3 linked regions of the Arabidopsis thaliana genome follow. The protein of the gene in region 2 purifies or fractionates together with the protein of the main gene of each other region. This does not show direct contact. Each region holds a gene or a part of one and is shown on either strand. Other genes may lie near its edges. The genes, in order: AT4G33370, AT5G40290 and AT5G51280.

Region 1 (5,713 bases), on a different chromosome or scaffold from region 2:
TTATAGATAGCTTTTTAATCATCCACTATAGAATCGAACAAGCTTGAACAAAAACATGATTCCTTACACCATATTCGACTTCGACCACAAGTGTTTAAAGCCAATCAACAAAAACAACAAAACATTCTATTCCCTCGTATACATCTGGCCAAAAGATGTTTGCATCTTTGGTACGGTACTCCAATTTTCAAGACTCTGAAAATGGTAACACAGCTGAGAAAAAAAAACCAAAACTATCTCCTATTTCTCCCATCAATCTGTCCACATGGGTTTTGCTCAAGCCGTTACAACACCTGAAACCCATGGAACGATAGATGGCGCTTTTGGGTGGTTGTTTCTGTATGTCTCAGAATATCTGTCTTTGAAATTCTGTTTTGGCTTCTCTGCCTGCAATTCACATAGACATATTGGATATGAGCCAAGCTTCCAGTCCAACTTGGACGAGTAATCTCAAGGAAACTGAAAATTGGGTAAAGTAGTATGTGTACGAGGTAAGTTCTTACGTATTTAAGCCAACACTCCTGATGTTTATGCTCATAAATATCTGGAGAGAAACAACCAAACTCAGATGGGCAATAAACCCAAATATTGCATCTCGTTTCTCCAGGTTTCGCACGCTTTGCCTGGTCTAAGCAAGCCTGGCAACAATCAGCTGCACTCTCTTTATGATGTGTAAGCCCCCATCTCACTGCAGCACCACCATAATCTGTGTGAAGCTCTGCATTACATACAGCTGGCACTGGTCTGCCTGCCAATATTTCCTCTACGGAAAAAATGCACAACTTCATGAGATTTGAATTCGCCAGTGTCACCACACTTTTCCACCCAAATAAATGCAAAAGCAGAGATCAAGAATGTAGAAAATTTTGAAAACATTACCAGGCTCTTCCTCTCCTTCAGGTTTATCATCATGTTCTACATTGGTAACCTCAGCAGGTAACCAGAAACCGATTTCTTCAGACAGCACATCCCACTCCAACTCCAAAGCTCTTACAAGCATCCCTAGATAATTACAGAACAAAAATTAGTTTTCTCTCTAATTATACAAAACAAGGATAGAGTATCGGGAGGACTCCATAAATGAATCTTTGCTCAAGGTGAGAAACTCAGTAATCTTTCTAAAGGAGTAATACCTGCTTCCTCCACTATAAGGGTGGAATTTACTCCATTTTGCCCTTGAATTAGCTCTTTAGCTTCCTCCAGCTTCTCATTGCGCCACGTTTCTACAACTTCTGTTTGCCAAATGAAGATAAGAAGGTATTAAAGGTCACTACAGAGATAACATGAATGTGTCAAAAGGAAAACTATTGTAGGCGAAAACATTAACAAGTCTACGTGCATTACGAATACTACAAGGGAAAACAATAGAACTCAGTTTGAAGCATCAAAAAGAAATCCAGTGTCTTCAAAGTCTGGATTATTAGAATTTTGTCACCTCTCTCTAACCAAATAAATTAACCCATTCCTACCTTCCACCTTTTTCCAATAACTCTTGTAAATAACTAAGAATTAACGCACATTGCGCATTAGCCTAGTCAGCACATAATAAATGTTAAGAGTTGTTCAAGTGAAGTGAATAGAATGAAAAATCTACTTTTAACAAGTCAAAAAGGTAAATATCATGACTTTTTGGAATTCTTGAGCATACTTTTTCTGATGCAGTAGAAAGGAATTAGAGAAGCATGTTGAGACATACGAACATGTTAGGTAAGCTACTGAGAATCTAAAGAACATCGAAAAGATTATGTATACAATGGCACCACCGCTAGAGTTTCTGTGGCTCAAATGTTTCATGTACATAGCATATGATCATCAATGCATAGATTATAACAGAACTTAAGTGGGTGTTAGAGCTTATGTTCCATAGACCTGATGAACTTATACAAGAAGAATAGAAAAACTAGGCATGAAAAAATCTCCATTGAAAATCCCGCTAAAATCAATTGTTCTGTCTAGTATGTGATAGTGCATGCAGAAAGGTCTGAAATTTGTGAGCCTATTTTACTATCCTGATAACCATATGCATTATTGAGCAAAAATCCACTTCTACATGAATGATAATGAAATATTTACTAAACTGAGCTATTGATACCAACAAAATCTTACACAGGTTAGGTAATAAGACAAATCACCATGACATTCCAAAGAGGTAATAAGACAAATCCTAAGCAGCTAGATCAGGAAAAGTCATGAAATGCAAGTTTGTGGCAGTTTGAAAAATAAATGTCATGAAGCTAATGGGCATAGTAGAGTAGCACAAACCTCTAAGCTGAGTAACATTAGATTTGTCCTCAAAGCTTTTCAAACGCTGGAGGATCTCATCAACTAGTTTGTGTTTAACATTAGGAGATAGTTCAGTACTAGATTCTGCAGTGGAAACCTCATGCTTGAGCTTCTTCACCTAACAAGGAAATCAAACATTGTGAGAAGAGCCAATGTGCATCTTCGAGTTCCATTTTAAAAAGCCACTAACCAATTGAAGAATCAGAGTAGGTTCCTTCGATCTTCGAATCCGAATAGATTCCTCCATTTTCCTAATCTCATCAGCTGTGTACTTAACAACTGAATAACAAAAAACCAACAGAGCTGCTTCAGATACGAATTATCATGAATCAGAGAGCAAAAATGAAAAGGAAAATAAAAAGTAGGAACCATTATCGTTATTGGAATAGATGTGGAGAGAAGAAGCATAGAGAAAGCGAAGAACAAAGAGAGCAATGAGAATGTTGAAAAAGCAAACAAGTAGAGTGATTCTTTTGAAAGAGAGAACTCCGGTTCCGGCGATCCCTCCGGTCCATTCTCCTCCTCCCCTCGCCATCTCCCTCCGCCGTCATCCCACCATTTCTCAAGATCTCGCTTCCGATTATAATTACACTTTTGCTTTAAATCGAACACTTGAAAGAGAGATTCGATTTCTTTTTTTTTTGCTTCTTCTTCCGGCGGAAAAAGGAAATCGTGGGAGATAGAGAGAGAGAGCTTTTAATTATTACTCTATTAATTTATTTTTCACTCGACAGAGACAGAGATATATACCAATCTCATCAATGCGTGTGGATAAAAACGTCGTATGTATTTCTTTGGCAGCGTCTATACTAGATAGGAAGTTTTGTAGTATTATTTCTTGCAATTGTTATGTAAATACTACATCTTTAAATGTGGTGATAATCCTATGATTCATGTCATTGCCATTTTTCAATCCAATATATGAAAAAAATGGAAATTAAATTTTTGAAAAACTACCTTTTACCTAGCTCCTTGTCAACATACGAATTCTAATTGAGACTCTCTTCTTGTAGCTTTTCTTTTCTTTGCTTATAATCAGAAAACACAACACACCCGATCATTCCCCAACCCCGGTTTAACCAAAACTCCGTGTCGGTCATATCTATCTGCGTGATCTTCCTTGAAAGTCGAGAGATCTGCTGATTAGGGTTTGGATTCGATCTTTGAAAAAGTTGGCGAGTGGATTTTGAATCATGGAAGTAGATGATGGTTACGTGGAGTATGTTCCAGTAGAGGAGCGTCTAGCGCAGATGAAGCGAAAGGTGGTGGAAGAACCTGGCAAGGTAAAGCTCACTGAAGAAGCTAAACCTAGCTTACTTGTTCAAGCAACTCAGCTCAAGCGACATGTACCTTAAGTCAGTGCTACCGAGGCCATTATTTTACAAGAGAAGGGGATGATGGAGCATTTATCTGACAAGAAGAAGCTTATGTCTGTTGGTGAATTAGCCAGAGGTATCACTTATACAGAGCCTCTCTCAACATGGTGGAAACCCCCTCTGCACGTTAGGAAGATGTCAACCAAACAGATGGATTTGATTAGGAAGCAATGGCATATTACAGTTAACGGTGAAGATATTCCTCCTCCAATCAAAAACTTCATGGATATGAAATTTCCGAGTCCACTTCTCCGTATGCTCAAGGATAAAGGAATAATGCACCCTACTCCTATCCAAGTTCAGGGTCTTCCTGTTGTTTTGTCTGGCAGAGATATGATTGGGATTGCGTTCACTGGTTCCGGAAAGACGTTGGTTTTCGTGCTTCCTATGATCATATTAGCTCTGCAGGAGGAGATAATGATGCCTATAGCTGCTGGAGAAGGTCCCATTGCGCTTGTTATTTGTCCGTCTAGAGAGCTTGCTAAGCAGACTTACGATGTGGTTGAACAGTTTGTGGCATCTTTAGTCGAGGATGGATACCCGCGGTTGAGGTCGTTGCTATGCATTGGAGGAGTGGATATGAGATCACAGTTGGACGTTGTTAAGAAAGGTGTTCACATCGTTGTTGCTACTCCTGGAAGGTTGAAGGATATCCTCGCCAAGAAAAAGATGAGCTTAGATGCTTGCAGGTTGTTGACACTGGATGAAGCAGATAGGTTGGTTGATTTGGGTTTCGAAGATGACATAAGACATGTCTTTGACCACTTTAAGTCTCAGCGTCAAACACTTTTGTTTTCTGCCACAATGCCTGCAAAAATCCAAATCTTTGCCACAAGTGCTCTGGTGAAACCTGTAACTGTTAATGTAGGAAGAGCTGGAGCTGCGAATCTCGATGTCATACAGGAGGTTGAATACGTCAAGCAAGAAGCAAAGATTGTTTACCTTCTGGAGTGTCTGCAGAAAACCACTCCACCGGTTTTAATATTCTGTGAGAACAAAGCTGATGTTGATGATATTCACGAGTACTTGTTACTGAAAGGAGTGGAAGCAGTGGCTATCCATGGAGGAAAAGATCAAGAAGACAGAGATTACGCAATATCTTTGTTCAAAGCTGGGAAAAAAGACGTTTTGGTCGCGACCGATGTTGCTTCAAAGGGTTTAGATTTCCCTGATATACAACATGTAATCAACTACGACATGCCTGGGGAGATTGAGAACTACGTGCATAGGATAGGAAGAACAGGTCGCTGTGGGAAAACTGGGATAGCAACTACGTTTATAAACAAGAACCAAAGCGAAATCACGCTGCTCGATTTGAAACACTTGTTGCAAGAAGCTAAACAGAGGATTCCACCTGTCCTTGCTGAGCTTAATGGTCCAATGGAAGAAACAGAAACCATTGCTAATGCAAGCGGTGTCAAGGGTTGTGCTTATTGTGGTGGTCTCGGGCATCGGATTCTACAGTGTCCAAAATTTGAACATCAGAAGAGTGTAGCTATATCTAGTTCTAGGAAAGACCATTTTGGCTCTGATGGATACAGAGGAGAGGTGTAATCTTGTTTCAAGGTTCGTGCTCTAATCTTGTTTCGAACTAGCTATCACCGAATTGAGATTTCTTTACTCATTATGTCATCTTGTATTTTCGTGGATCTGTCTGTAATTTGAAATTTTGTTTCACTCAAATGAGAAACTTACTAGTTCTTTGTTATCTGTAGTATGTGACAAAACAAAACACAAAAGAATCTTGCTATTGGTTGATCCAGCTTTCAGACAATGATGTTTGTATTAAATATTAATTAATTAAACCCTCTCAACCAATTAGAGGTTTCTTGGCTTAGAAAAGCAACGATGGGCCCAAAGATGCCCAACACAGAAACAGAAAATATGAAAATATTAGTCACCGGCTCTACTGGTTACTTAGGCGCACGACTCTGCCACGTTCTCCTCCGTCGTGGCCACTCCGTACGTGCATTGGTCCGCCGCACCAGCGATCTCTCTGACTTACCTCCAGAAGTTGAGCTCGCCTATGGAGACGTAACGGATTACCGTTCTCT
Region 2 (7,142 bases):
TCAGGAGGTGATTCAATCGTTGTTTGTGGTAATGAATGAAGTGATGATCTTGAAGACATCTCGAAGTTGATTGGTGAAGACTGGTCTTGTTTCTCTTGTTGTTGCTTCTTCTTCTTCTGAAATTTCTGGGTTTTTTCTAATTCTTCCATTTTCGTAGATATTTTGTGGGTTTTTAAAAATTAATTTGAGTTTGTTTGACAGCGGAAGTGATGAAGTAAGCTCTTCTTCTTCCACCTTTGGTCAATGGACACAAATGAGGAAGAAGACGAGAAAAAGACTTACTTTAAAAATAAGTGTTTGCAAAAGGACTTGGTTTCTTTGGTTTCTTGCAACTTTAACCTAAACTATTGTTTGAAACATATAATCCCATTTTCTTCCGATTTATTGGTGGCGAAAGTGTTATTAAAATCATCAATTTATTAAAAACGTTGATTTAAATTCTTAATTCTCGATAAAACGAAATAAATAAACTTGAGATGAAAAGACTTACAGAAGATGCATCATGCACACAACCAAACATAGATAGTCGACGTGAAACAATTTAAGGAGATCAAATCTAAAAAGAAAAATATACATATAAAAAAGACGCAACATAAATTTTGAAACAAACTGATGATTAAATGATGCAGCATATATATTTTGGGCTTTACGTTGGTGTTTATGGACGTGGTACATTTGAATTATTAGCTTGTTTTAATTAGTAAAAAGGGGTTTCGTTCTAATGCCCGAAAATAATCTTCTAATTGTTTATTTAAAGGGATTAGGATTAAAAGATTTGGTGTTTATCTCAAGTCTCAACCCTCCTATGCATCATTCTTCGTATTATTAACTTGTGGAATAAGAAACGAACTTTCGAGCACGGGAAAGAGTATTTCCAAATTATCTAATGAGCTTTCAGGGAAGAGTATCGGGAAAAATGTCAAAAAAATCGTGAACTTTCAAATTTGGGACGTAAAAAACCTGAACTTTCAAAAAGACATTTAAATCCTAAAGTTTATTTTGACTTTTGATAAAATGATCAAGTTTTGTTGACTTGGCCAATTAGGGCTTGTCGTTAATTTTCCGTCAACAAAACAATCACGGTGTTAACTTTTCGTTAGAATCTCCGTGAAATCAAAACGACGTCATTTTGGACATTAGAATATAAGAAGGAAAATTTGCTAACAAGGAGAGTCGAACAACTGACCTTTTGGACTTATAAGAGACACTCAACCATTGAACTACATTAATATTCTTGTATTATGGTAAACAGAGCATGTATATATATATATATATAATGTAAAAAAATAACAGAAACCATTAGAATATATAATATTAAATATGTGAGTTTAAAATTATACAATCCTTTTCATTTAAATATATATACCATTAATACAATTATCACTTTTTCTTATAATGTAACTAAAATAATTTTTATTTATTTATTTTCTATCTAACTATTAATATTACATCAATTTCAAGTTAGAATAATTATGTTTTATATTTATCTAATATATATTATAATATAAATACAAATTAATTTATCCAAGTTTCAGTTTGTTTTATATAATTTAGAAATCAATAATTTTTCAAATATAGAAGAAACTAACATAGCAAACTAAATAATTGAAATTTCCAAATATTTATTGAGGGTAAATATATTTAATATTTGCATATATTTGGTTGTTGATTTTATTTAGTTTTGTTATTTTTAATAAATTGCAGATATTTAATTAATTGTATATTATTATGTTTTGTGTATATATATATATATATACTATGTCTGTAAGATATTATAATGTTAATGCAGGTTAATGGTTGAATTCCTCTATTAGTTCAGAAGATCAGCATTTCGAGTCACTTGAACTGCTGTTTTTCTTTTTCATTTTCTAATTTTCAAAACGACGTCGTTTTGATATAAGAGAGATTCTAACGGAAAGTTAACTCTGTGATTGTTTGGTTGACGGAAACTTAACGACATGCCCTAAATGGTCAAGTTAACAAAACTTGATCATTTTATCAAAAGTCAAACTAAACTTTAGGATTTAATTGTCTTCTTGAATATTTATGCTTTTTTCATCCCAAATTTGAAAGTTCGCGATTTTTTTGACATTTTTCCCGAAAAATATTCCCAAACCTATCCTTTTATCGTTTCTGCCGCTAAACCATTAAAGACTTTGATGTGTTACCAATAACAACATTCAATATTGAGGACCAAAAAAAGTAGGTTTTGTGGTTTCTACAAAGTGTTTAACTCGGGGAAGGTAAGCGAAACAGACACAGTTTGCTTTGGGTAATAAATTGACATGAAGAAAATCTTGTCCGTCAGATTACAAATATCAGAAACTTTCAACAGTTAGATTTTAATTTGCTGACGTGTGCGAGTATTAGTATTACAGATTAGGTTTTCTTGACCAAAAAAAAAGGCGACGTGAAATATCTAGTGATGGGAGAGTATTGCAATGAAGACCTGAGTTGTTTTCCGGCGAATGAACTCCGGTTCAGCAAACATGTCCACGACAACGTTCATGGAAACATCTATCTTGATCCTGTTAGTTTTCTCTTCTTCTCACTTTCCAAATGGTTCGGATTTTCTGTGATGTGATTATCTTCTTTGTATTTAGAGTTTTTCCAATTTTGGCTTGAATTTCAAATGCTCTAAACCACTTGATAAGTCTGTGAAAACTCATTGTTTAATCTGTTATGCAGCTTTGTTTAAAATTCATTGACACTGAGCAGTTCCAAAGGTAATTAGTTGTTGGATTGTGCTCATTTCAAAAGGTATATTAAAATCAGACTGAGAAATGTGCTGATTCTTTTTATCCTAATTCCTTGTGGCAGGCTTCGTGAACTAAAGCAACTTGGTGAGTTTTTCTTACCTTTTCAATACCAAAAAAAAAGAAGCATTATATTCAGAATTACTGTATGAAATGCTAGAAGGAAAATATAGAAATATTTTTCTCCAAAATATTTTTCTTTTGCTTAGTTTATTAGCTGTAGCTGTAATAAGTCTTGAGTGGTGTATCTTCTTTCTTACATGCATGGTTTAGGAGTGACAAACATGGTATATCCAGGAGCTGTACATTCTAGATTTGAGCACTCTCTAGGTGTGTATTGGCTTGCAGGTGAAACTGTTCAGAGGCTCAAAACTTTCCAGGTATTTGGATAATTTGTACAAATTTCAGTGGTACGTACAGTCACATTTTTGTTAAGTATGTAATGTATATGTTATAGGGAATGGAGCTTGGTATTGACAATCATGATCTTCAGACTGTGAGACTTGCTGGTAACTATTGTTAGCTAAATATATGACTACATTAATTATTCATTGAGATACAATTTTTTATATCTCTTTGTATATTTTTGTAGGACTTCTCCATGACATTGGCCATGGGCCTTTCAGTCATATGTTTGAGCGTGAGTTCCTCCCAAAGGTCATAAGTGGCTGTCAGTGGTATGTTCAATGCCATGGTGTTACTTGATAATTTGATATGATACAAGAAATATTACTACATTGCTGATGTACAAACGCTTTTTCGAATAAATTTTACATTTTCTTCAAAAATAAAATAAAAATATTTACTACTTTGGCTCTATGGATTTATTCTTCTTTCTAGCTCTTCTTTATATGCCAGTTCTTGTATGCAGGTCTCATGAGTTAATGTCTATAAACATGATTGACTATATAGTCGATACACATCACATAGATGTTGATGCAAAAATGCTAAAAAGAGTCAAAGTAATTTTCTTTCTCAAGACTGTTTAACTTCTCTCAAATGACCTTTAGTATTAAATATTTTCCACTTTGGTGATGATTTTCTCAAATGTTTACTTAACACTACAGGACATGATACTAGCTAGTACTGAAGTTTCAGAGCTGAAAGTAAATTTTATAACAGGCATGTTCTCTATTCTAATCAAACATGAACAACTAATTAAGCTTTGTATATATTTTCTTTTTTTCATAATTTGTAGGGCAATGCAGAGAAGCGTTTCTTGTATGACATTGTTGCTAATGGTCGAAATGGGATTGATGTGGATAAGTAATTCTATCTTTCCCTTAGTTTCTTTCTTTCTTTTTTCACTCATCATGATGCTTACGAAATCAACTGAAAATTTTGTAGGTTTGACTACATTGTCCGAGACTCTCGAGCTTGTGGACTAGGGTGCAACTTTCAGTTTCAAAGGTCTTCATACTACTTTATAGTCATTTCAGTTTTTGTTTTGACATTCACTGATTCTTAGTAGTTTATAGACTAACAGAACCAATGAGAGTCATAGACAATGAAATCTGCTACCCCGCCAAGGAATGTGAGTTTTGTCCACCTGATACATATTTATTCTGCATTTGCATTTGCCTCTTATGTAAAATCGGGTGACTTTTTTTTGCAGATCGTACTGTCCACAAGTTGTTTGCAACTCGAGCTGATCTTTGTGGAACCGTCTACATGCATCCCAAAAAAATGGTATTGTACCATTATCATTCTCTCTGTACCTTGTCTATTCTTTCTCTCTTTCCCATTTGTTTCTTTGCAGGCCATAGAGCTTATGATAGTAGATGCAATGGTCAAAGCCAACAATGTCTTGGAGATTTCTTCTATGATTAATGATCCTTCTCAATACTGGAAGGTACACAAATCTTTCCCTCTCTGCATCAAAACTCTTTTGCTTGTAGTTTACATCATTTTTTTCTCCAGACAAATGCAGTTAGACGACACAATCCTCAAAACGATTGAAAGATCTCCAGATCCAGAACTTGCAGAAGCTAAAGAGCTGATACTCCGCCTTAGCAGAAGGCACTTGTACCAAGTAACTTTTTTATACAAACTTTACCTTTCTTTTGGTGCTTATTTAGGTAAAGTATCGTCCTTCTGAAGAAAGACATGTATGACTTCTTACTTGCAGTTCTGTAACGAGTATGCGGTACCAAAGGACAAAATCGATCATTTCAAACCTATCACTCCTGAAGATATCATCTGTTTCTCAGGTTTGTAATCTTTAACACAGCAAAATAAGAGGAAACTATTTTTATATACAGTGAGGACCTTTGCCATATATACGTATCACTCTGATTTAACAGAAGCAAACAAGCTTGACACTAAAAGAAGAAGATATAGCTGTTACAAACGTCAAGATTGATTTAGCTCGTGGGAGAGAAAATCCTCTTGAATGGTAAACAAAGTACAGTTTAGCTTCTCTGTTTTCTCAATTTCCTCATTAAAGTTCTAACCAACTTATCCTTGTGCTTGACTTCTTTAGCATCAACTTCTATAAGGTACATACATAAAAGTCTTCGTTCTTGTTATGCAGATTTGATTCTCTAAATGTGTAAAGAGAGGAAACCTTGAAAATAACACAGAGAATCTCAATAAACAAATTGATTTTTCTATGGTATTTACAGGATTATAATAGTGCAGAGAAGTTTGTGATACCTGAGGACAGAGTTAGCCACTTGTTACCAACAACATATCAAGAAATGATAGTGAGAGTATATGCCAAAAAACCAGAATTGGTATGTGATTATTACTCTCTTTTATGATTACATTACTGTTTCGTTTTATTTAACCACAAAGTAACGTTTTTATTTTTCTGGTTTGCAATGTTTATTCTACAGGTAGAAGCAGTTTCTGAGGCATTTGAAAACTTCCAAATGAGAACGTATGGAATCAAAGCTCAAGTACTGATGTAACTACGTGGCTTAGCCATGATTTACTTCATTACATGGGTTCTTGTTTCTGGGGGGGAATTGGTGACGGTGGAAGTAATAAGTTTTTTTTTTTTTGTTAAATATTATATCTCGACAAGATTTGAAGAACAAAGATATGTTCATGTTTGGTTGATCTATTTTTTGGTTTTAACATCCAATTTTTGGTTCGAAACACCTGACGTTCAGGTGATATCGGATACAAACTCGTTCACTACGAATCCATGCATTTCTACTACACGAGTTTGTCAGAATTCTCTAAAACCAATAACGATGCAAGTCTTTCAACAATCATCAAATTCTTTAAGTCGTAAACCAAAGATATGATAAATGGTATATACGTAATAAAAAAGTAACAGGTTTTAAGGTTAAATTAGTGAAACTTCTTTTGAAATCTTACAAGTTACAACACTACGAAAACTCTTATGTTTGGAGTTTCCCATACATTAGCAACAACGGGTCATGCTGCTTTAAAGAAGAACTCGATAGCTTCATTATACTGATCCATGACAATGTTGTGAAGAAGTTGAACAGGTTCAAGGAGATTCGAGTAGCCACCCATAATGTCGCGAGTCAAAGGAGGAGTGTCCTCGTCTTTTAACCAAGCGTGCTGAGCCACAGACAAGCCGCTCAGGCAGTAACATGTGTGGTAGAAGTCACGGGGTTTCCTCGGCTTGTCTCTGAATCCACCGTCAGGGATCTGCGCATACAAGTGTGTGTGCTTGTGTTATACAAATGTTAAGTGTTAACTTGACTGGATGTTTTGTTCTGGACTGACCTTAGAGCACAAGAGTACATATCTCTGCAAGCCGAGGCTATCAAAAACCAGTTGCATTCTCCTGTTAATGTAGGTGGATGTATGATGGATTCTGTGACCATTCACTGAATCTGCAAATATAAGCTAACTAAAATTTCGTTGTGTTTTGAATTATCAGATGGACTTGATGGTTGAGAAATTTGATTGAATACCTTCATCGTTGTCCTCATCAGAATCATCATCATCATCACTGTCTTCAAGGTCATCTTCATCATGAGCATGATGTTCTTCATTTGTCCCTTCTGATATATGTGATGATCCATGAACGTCATGATCATTGGTTGAATATAATCTTTGTAGTAGAACACAAGGGGCTGCCTGTTTAACATATACCCAAAGGAAATAAGAAAAGACAACAACGGTGAAGAATTTAGAAGTAGGGCCAATAATAATCCTGAAAGATAGAAAGTTAACCTGCCAAAATGTGTAGCAACCATCGACCAATTTGTTCGTCCTACCTTGAAATCCCATTTCTACTCCTTGTCGATGTACAGCCCAATTCTAGAATCATAAGGAAATTATTTGGTAAGGAAAATATCTCTCAGGGAAAATTATTAATCATCTCCAAACAGCATTGTATGTTACCATTAATGAATCCAAATTCAAACGGTCGACCTCATTGATTAAAATCATAGCAGCCAA
Region 3 (6,588 bases), 4.7 Mb from region 2:
AGAAAAAAAATGAAGATAACTTGGTCATGCATATGACTCATGATTCATTGTTGAAGATTCTTCTTTCACTCTTTTTTATTTTGTTTTTGATAATAGATTCTTTCACTCTCGTTATTTACTAGCTCACACAAGGATTTTCTTCATTATCAGAGAGCTACAAAGAAGAGGGAGGGGCTTATATTATTTCTCATTTTTTTTTTATGTTTGAAAGTTTCTGCCAATTCTCAACAATCTTATGAAGGGATTTGCTAACTAGTATTTTTTTTTAGATTTGGAAAATGTCTGTTTTGGAAACTAATATTATTTTTGTGCACGGCTGGATATACTTTTTCAAAAACATGAATATTATTAATTCATCAAGAAATTAAAATTAAAGATGAAGTATATATTGTTCTTACTTCGGAAAAATTGCATCACATGATGTTAGTCACTTTATATGATATCTTGAGGATTTAACGTTTTTAAATATTTTTGTAGTCCATGTTACATAGTGTAAAACTGTAAAGTAACAAAATGCGTATTCTTCTTAAATCTCACATAGTTCTGCCATGTATATATAATCCCTCTGCATGGCACTTCAAATGAGAATATTGAATGGAGAGTCGGAGACCATATGAAATCATGGATCACGTTCATGATAGAGATCTATATATCCCAATTCACATATATACTATATATATTCTATAATATATCATCTAGGAATACAGATGAAACTGTTACAGAGAATAACAAAATTTCGTGATAATTAAATCTAATATTCATTTATTATTCTTAATACTTTGAATATATATGGAAAAAACATTTATCTAAAATAATTCTTCTATTTAAATAGGGGACTTCAGATTTTTAAAATTTGAGTATTTTGCTTGAAGAAATGAGTATTTTTTTATAAAACTTTCCTTATGTTTTAAGATGAATTTTTCATCTTGTAACTAGACATATGATGTAATTCCAATTTCTTTTACTTTTATTTTTTATTATATATGTAATTCCAATTTCATTTGGTTTTTGCGGTTAGTTTACGAATGAATTCTACATATTACAAAAATATCATAAAATACATATAATGATCTATATTTTAATGGGGTTTTCCTCCCTTGGTTGCTCGCATGATCTATCTTGCCATCACGTCTTTTTGTCTCCCGATCCCTATAATATAGGTATGTGACAATGTGTGTCTATCTTTTTCTTTCTCTTTTAAGTTTTTAACCAATCCAATTTTTGTCAACAACACAATCCAATGAATTCTAACTAATATACTATGAAAGTGGCATATTAATATAAGTTTATATGAATGAACGAGAAAATGCACTTAGACATAAAAGAGGGAAAGAGAGATACATATGCAATGTCAACGTTGCTCAGCTTCACAAACCCATGTTATGAATCTTTTTCTTAGGTACATCAAGTCGTATGATTCTTTTTAAACAAACCATCAAGTATGATTCATTATATGGTTATATCCCAAATAAGAAAATATATAGATAAATACATTTAAATATTGCATGATGTCATGCACCAAAAAGCAACAATATATAATCAACATGATATAGAACTTCGACCCCAACTCCTCCTTCTTACTTGAACTTGTTTTTGGAATTGATATTATTTTTGGGTAAAATTAATGGTTAATTCATTTGAGTCAGGTTTATTTTCTTTTGAATTCAGGTCGGACTTTGAATTTCTTTTTCTTTTCTTAGTCAATATCATCATGGTTAGATGCGAACCATGACCGGGACAATATCGGCTATGTATTTTCTGTTTTGGTACATGTCACTATGTCACCTTGTTTAATTTTAGTTGTTCTGTTTGTGTAACTACGAGTCTACGAATACATTGTCTAATGAAATGTGTTGTTATGTTATATCACATGTCATATATAGTGTAACTCACAAAAGATGTATCATGTCATTTTCTTTATTTAAATCGTGTTACGTAATGTGAAGAACTTAACAATATATTAGCAATTTTAATACATCTGAAAATCATTCAAAAAATCGAAAAACAGAACAAAATTTTGTTATCGTAAACAACCAAGTTAAATGATAGATGAACACAATAGATCAAGGATAAAAAAAAGTTGAGATTTGAGATGAATTTGTTTTTTTTTTGTTTTTGTCACTGAAATCTTTATTGAAAGCCCATTAACTTACAGATAATAGGCCCAATAAACAAAATTTACACGCCGTCTAAACCCGATTTCCGACGACCTACAGAAAAACTTCGGTCGGTCAGTGACCCTTTAAAGGAAAGCTATTAGCGATTGATTCGAGAGATGTGCAAAGCTTGTTGATTTGAGGCTCTCTCTCTACTAGGGTTTGTTGATTTGAGTTTTCTATTCCTCCTATACGTGTTCTTCGATTCTCCTGGGATTTTTTTTTGAAAAAGGGAATAGAAGAAGAAGTTGCTGAATTCTCGATATGGAATCCATCATGGAAGAAGCTGATAGTTACATTGAGTATGTATCAGTGGCGGAGCGGAGAGCGATTGCAGCGCAGAAGATACTTCAGCGGAAGGGAAAAGCTTCGGAATTGGAAGAAGAAGCTGACAAGGAAAAGCTCGCTGAAGCTAAACCTAGTTTACTTGTTCAAGCAACTCAGCTCAAGCGAGATGTACCCGAAGTTAGTGCTACTGAGCAAATCATCTTACAAGAGAAAGAGATGATGGAGCATTTATCTGATAAGAAGACGCTTATGTCTGTTCGTGAACTTGCCAAAGGTATCACTTATACAGAGCCTCTCTTAACTGGGTGGAAACCTCCTTTGCATATTAGGAAGATGTCTAGTAAGCAGAGAGATTTGATTAGGAAGCAATGGCATATTATTGTTAATGGTGATGATATTCCTCCTCCTATTAAGAACTTTAAGGATATGAAGTTTCCTAGACCTGTTCTCGATACTCTCAAGGAGAAAGGTATTGTGCAGCCTACTCCTATTCAAGTTCAGGGTCTTCCTGTGATTTTGGCTGGGAGAGATATGATTGGGATTGCTTTCACTGGTTCCGGAAAGACTTTGGTTTTCGTGCTTCCCATGATCATGATTGCTCTCCAAGAAGAGATGATGATGCCTATTGCTGCTGGTGAAGGTCCCATTGGGCTTATTGTTTGCCCTTCTAGAGAGCTTGCTAGGCAGACTTATGAAGTGGTTGAGCAGTTTGTGGCTCCTTTGGTTGAGGCTGGGTACCCGCCATTGAGGTCGTTGCTATGTATTGGAGGTATTGATATGAGATCCCAGTTGGAGGTTGTCAAGAGAGGTGTCCATATTGTTGTTGCAACCCCTGGGAGGTTAAAGGATATGCTCGCCAAGAAAAAGATGAGCTTAGATGCTTGCAGGTATGATTTCTTTGGTTCTTTTCAATATGATTAATCAACCTGATTGTAATATATGTTTGCGTCTACTGTCTTGGCTGCCTTGTTTGATCTTATATCCTCGTTTTCTGAGTTTTGCACTTGGCTAGATTCTTGGGGATATCTGCTTATTGTGCCTGTTTTGTTGTTTCTGGTTAACGGGATAGATCAATAGGATTGTCTAGTGTCTGTTAGCTACTTAGCGCTTCATTGCTATATATGTTCTTTATTGTGTGATTCTATCGGATTTTTTCTCTCTGAATAAATTTTCCGCACTGGTGTTTCTTTCTGAATGCATCTTTCTTGTCTTTGGAGTCTTGAGACTGTGTCATTTAATTTCAAAATCTTGAGAATGTTAGATGGCAATGATGTTTACCTTCCTTTTTTTCCTTTTTTTAGGTACCTGACACTAGATGAGGCAGATAGGTTGGTTGATTTGGGTTTCGAAGATGACATAAGGGAAGTCTTTGACCACTTTAAGTCTCAACGTCAAACACTATTGTTCTCTGCCACAATGCCCACAAAGATTCAAATCTTTGCCAGAAGTGCTCTGGTGAAACCTGTGACAGTTAATGTAGGAAGAGCTGGAGCTGCGAATCTGGATGTGATCCAGGAGGTAGAATACGTCAAACAAGAAGCAAAGATTGTTTACCTCCTCGAGTGTCTACAGAAAACCTCTCCGCCGGTTTTGATATTCTGTGAGAACAAAGCTGATGTTGATGATATTCACGAGTACTTGTTACTGAAAGGAGTGGAAGCAGTGGCCATCCATGGAGGAAAAGATCAAGAAGACAGAGAGTACGCAATCTCTTCGTTTAAAGCTGGGAAAAAAGATGTGTTGGTTGCGACTGATGTTGCTTCAAAGGGTCTAGATTTCCCTGATATACAACACGTAATCAACTACGACATGCCAGCAGAGATTGAGAACTATGTGCATAGGATAGGACGAACAGGTCGGTGTGGTAAAACTGGGATAGCAACGACGTTTATAAACAAGAATCAAAGCGAAACCACTCTGCTGGATTTGAAACACTTGTTGCAAGAAGCTAAACAGAGGATTCCACCTGTCCTTGCTGAGCTGAATGATCCAATGGAAGAAGCAGAGACCATTGCTAATGCAAGTGGTGTCAAGGGTTGTGCCTATTGTGGTGGTCTTGGACATCGTATCCGAGACTGTCCAAAACTTGAGCACCAGAAGAGTGTCGCCATTTCTAACTCAAGAAAAGATTATTTTGGCTCGGGTGGCTACAGAGGAGAAATATAATCTTGTTTTGTTCCCTTTGCTAGTTATCTCATCTTAGCTGTTACCGAACTGTGATGTTTGTGATGTTTATCTTCCATATGTCACGCTTTTTACACTGAGTCGAGTTCTATCATGTCAAAATATTTCTTAGTTAATATATATGGTCGGATTCTTGAACTAAATTTTGTACACAATGTGCATGCGGTAAGGTGCAAGGTCTTTCGAATTGTATCCCTAAGGTTGCTTTTGAGTTTAGTTGTTCATTTTGGTGTCTCTTCTTTCTGTTGTTATTGTTACAAGTGCCCCTTTACACCGTTGGGTTGTATTGAAGATACATTTTCATATCAGCGCTGAAAGGTAACGTTTTTTTTTTATGGGGAAAAAGGTATAGACTATTAATTACATCATAATGATGTTTACAATGAGAAAGAGTAATATCATCTCCAATCTCCAATGGTTACATCTCGAATTTTTGGATACTATAATATGTTTGCCATGTTCTTTTTTTGGCAACATTGTCATGTTCACTATAAGACTTTTCTAGTTTCCAGTCTCATTTGGCTTTTTCACTTGGGTCACTAACTATGCACAAAAGCTTCATATAAAACCACATTCACATGCATGTTGTTATATCTCTGGACCAGATGCGAACAGAGGTATAAGGCCACGCAATACTTGGGCTGATAATTGGTGAGCCTCAAAGATCTCTCCGTCCAAATTCCACACACTCTCTTCCCCAAATGATGTAAACGTGAAAGCTCGCGTCTGCATTACCAAATATATTTTGATCAGGACCCAACCAAGTTAAGAAGATTAGAAAAGGAAAATGTTTTACAAACCTTGTGATATTCCACAAACTCGAAGTTCAAAGGTTCTCCACCTCTTTTTGCAAGCTCGGTTAGGTGCCTGTAACCCATTACAATCTCTGATATAAGCCTTACTCATAAAATGAATGACAATAGGAAAAGTCGAGACATTACCATAAGTACTTGGGACGAGAACAATCTTTTATGAGTATGAGATGAAGGAAACCGTCGGAGAGGTGTGCATCCACAACAAGCCCATCAGGTGCTCTTTCATTTCGGTTTGACATCACTGCAGCACCTATACTCAAAAACCGTCCTTTCGTTCTACACCATCTTGTTTTTTCTGGACAGGGGTTAAGTGTTGTGCTTGCACTGTTCCAACCAACCTTACTGTTACAAATCTTGCAATTTGCACGACATAGTATTTTCTCTGATCTTGTGGTATTTCGAAATGGCCATGTCTTACTCCGCGTATGTAGGGAAGCTTTAGAATTCTCTGATTCAGCTTCTTCAAACATTACCTCTGCCTCGTATGATCTTACATTAACATATAAATTAACAACTCAAAAAAACAGTGCTTTGCTTGGACGAAAAAACAAGGTAGATCATTTGGAGGAAATTCCACTAATGTTTTCTTTTGGAAGTTTAAATTGGTAAATATGCTAGGGAAATACCTGTGCTTCAAGAATATCTTAGTTCCAACATAGTCATAGCGTTTGGGACCCATCCACCGATATTTTTCACTTTCTGAAATGACATCACCATAAAACCCGTATCTGAACTAATCAATTGTACAAAACTCTGTTAGAGATTGGAGAAATCAAGTTTTCTTTCACAGGCACTAATGGTTAAAGATATTGAGGATGCTGTTAATAATAAGGAACTAAAGCTCCGGACTTGTAAGTGAAGGATGAAAAACAGAGCTTCATGACTTAACAAAATCTGCCTTTCCTTGTTACAGAACATCTCAACAAAAAAGGTTTAGTCCATTACCCAGCGAATGAGGCTGCATAACGAATATAAGGTTCAATCGTCGAGGTTGATGCTGTTTTCCACCGCACAACCTGCATTGCATCAAGGAAGAGCTTTCTACCTAGAATGATATGCAGCGCTGATGTTACAGGATCACGAGCTCCTGTGGTGCTGTAACGCAAGAGCATAAATAGTAGTTTAAAACTTGAAGCTTATCAGAA

The links.
Region 1: the proteins of AT5G40290 (region 2) and AT4G33370 fractionate together in Arabidopsis thaliana (co-fractionation; one large-scale study listed by BioGRID). This does not show direct contact.
Region 3: the proteins of AT5G40290 (region 2) and AT5G51280 fractionate together in Arabidopsis thaliana (co-fractionation; one large-scale study listed by BioGRID). This does not show direct contact.

The regions. Positions count from the first base shown.
Region 1 is NC_003075.7:16,069,169-16,074,881, reverse strand, and holds AT4G33370 (DEA(D/H)-box RNA helicase family protein), read left to right. Parts: upstream 1-3,476; coding exon 3,477-3,566; intron 3,567-3,674; coding exon 3,675-5,213; downstream 5,214-5,713. Other genes in the region: AT4G33380 (dimethylallyl, adenosine tRNA methylthiotransferase), read right to left, coding at 277-387, 504-763, 880-1,002, 1,134-1,232, 2,263-2,401, 2,474-2,562, 2,653-2,818; FLDH (NAD(P)-binding Rossmann-fold superfamily protein), read left to right, coding at 5,508-5,713.
Region 2 is NC_003076.8:16,103,785-16,110,926, reverse strand, and holds AT5G40290 (HD domain-containing metal-dependent phosphohydrolase family protein), read left to right. Parts: upstream 1-2,425; coding exon 2,426-2,530; intron 2,531-2,688; coding exon 2,689-2,726; intron 2,727-2,820; coding exon 2,821-2,843; intron 2,844-3,029; coding exon 3,030-3,136; intron 3,137-3,213; coding exon 3,214-3,265; intron 3,266-3,348; coding exon 3,349-3,433; intron 3,434-3,627; coding exon 3,628-3,718; intron 3,719-3,823; coding exon 3,824-3,862; intron 3,863-3,954; coding exon 3,955-4,022; intron 4,023-4,103; coding exon 4,104-4,166; intron 4,167-4,234; coding exon 4,235-4,290; intron 4,291-4,371; coding exon 4,372-4,445; intron 4,446-4,515; coding exon 4,516-4,608; intron 4,609-4,686; coding exon 4,687-4,788; intron 4,789-4,884; coding exon 4,885-4,966; intron 4,967-5,084; coding exon 5,085-5,151; intron 5,152-5,238; coding exon 5,239-5,254; intron 5,255-5,380; coding exon 5,381-5,491; intron 5,492-5,593; coding exon 5,594-5,668; downstream 5,669-7,142. Other genes in the region: AT5G40300 (Uncharacterized protein family (UPF0497)), read right to left, coding at 1-149; ERA1 (Prenyltransferase family protein), read right to left, coding at 6,144-6,383, 6,462-6,571, 6,653-6,818, 6,915-7,001, 7,086-7,142.
Region 3 is NC_003076.8:20,839,036-20,845,623, forward strand, and holds AT5G51280 (DEAD-box protein abstrakt), read left to right. Parts: upstream 1-2,203; 5' UTR 2,204-2,420; coding exon 2,421-3,331; intron 3,332-3,745; coding exon 3,746-4,610; 3' UTR 4,611-4,957; downstream 4,958-6,588. Other genes in the region: ACD5 (Diacylglycerol kinase family protein), read right to left, coding at 5,217-5,354, 5,429-5,495, 5,570-5,932, 6,070-6,171, 6,389-6,538.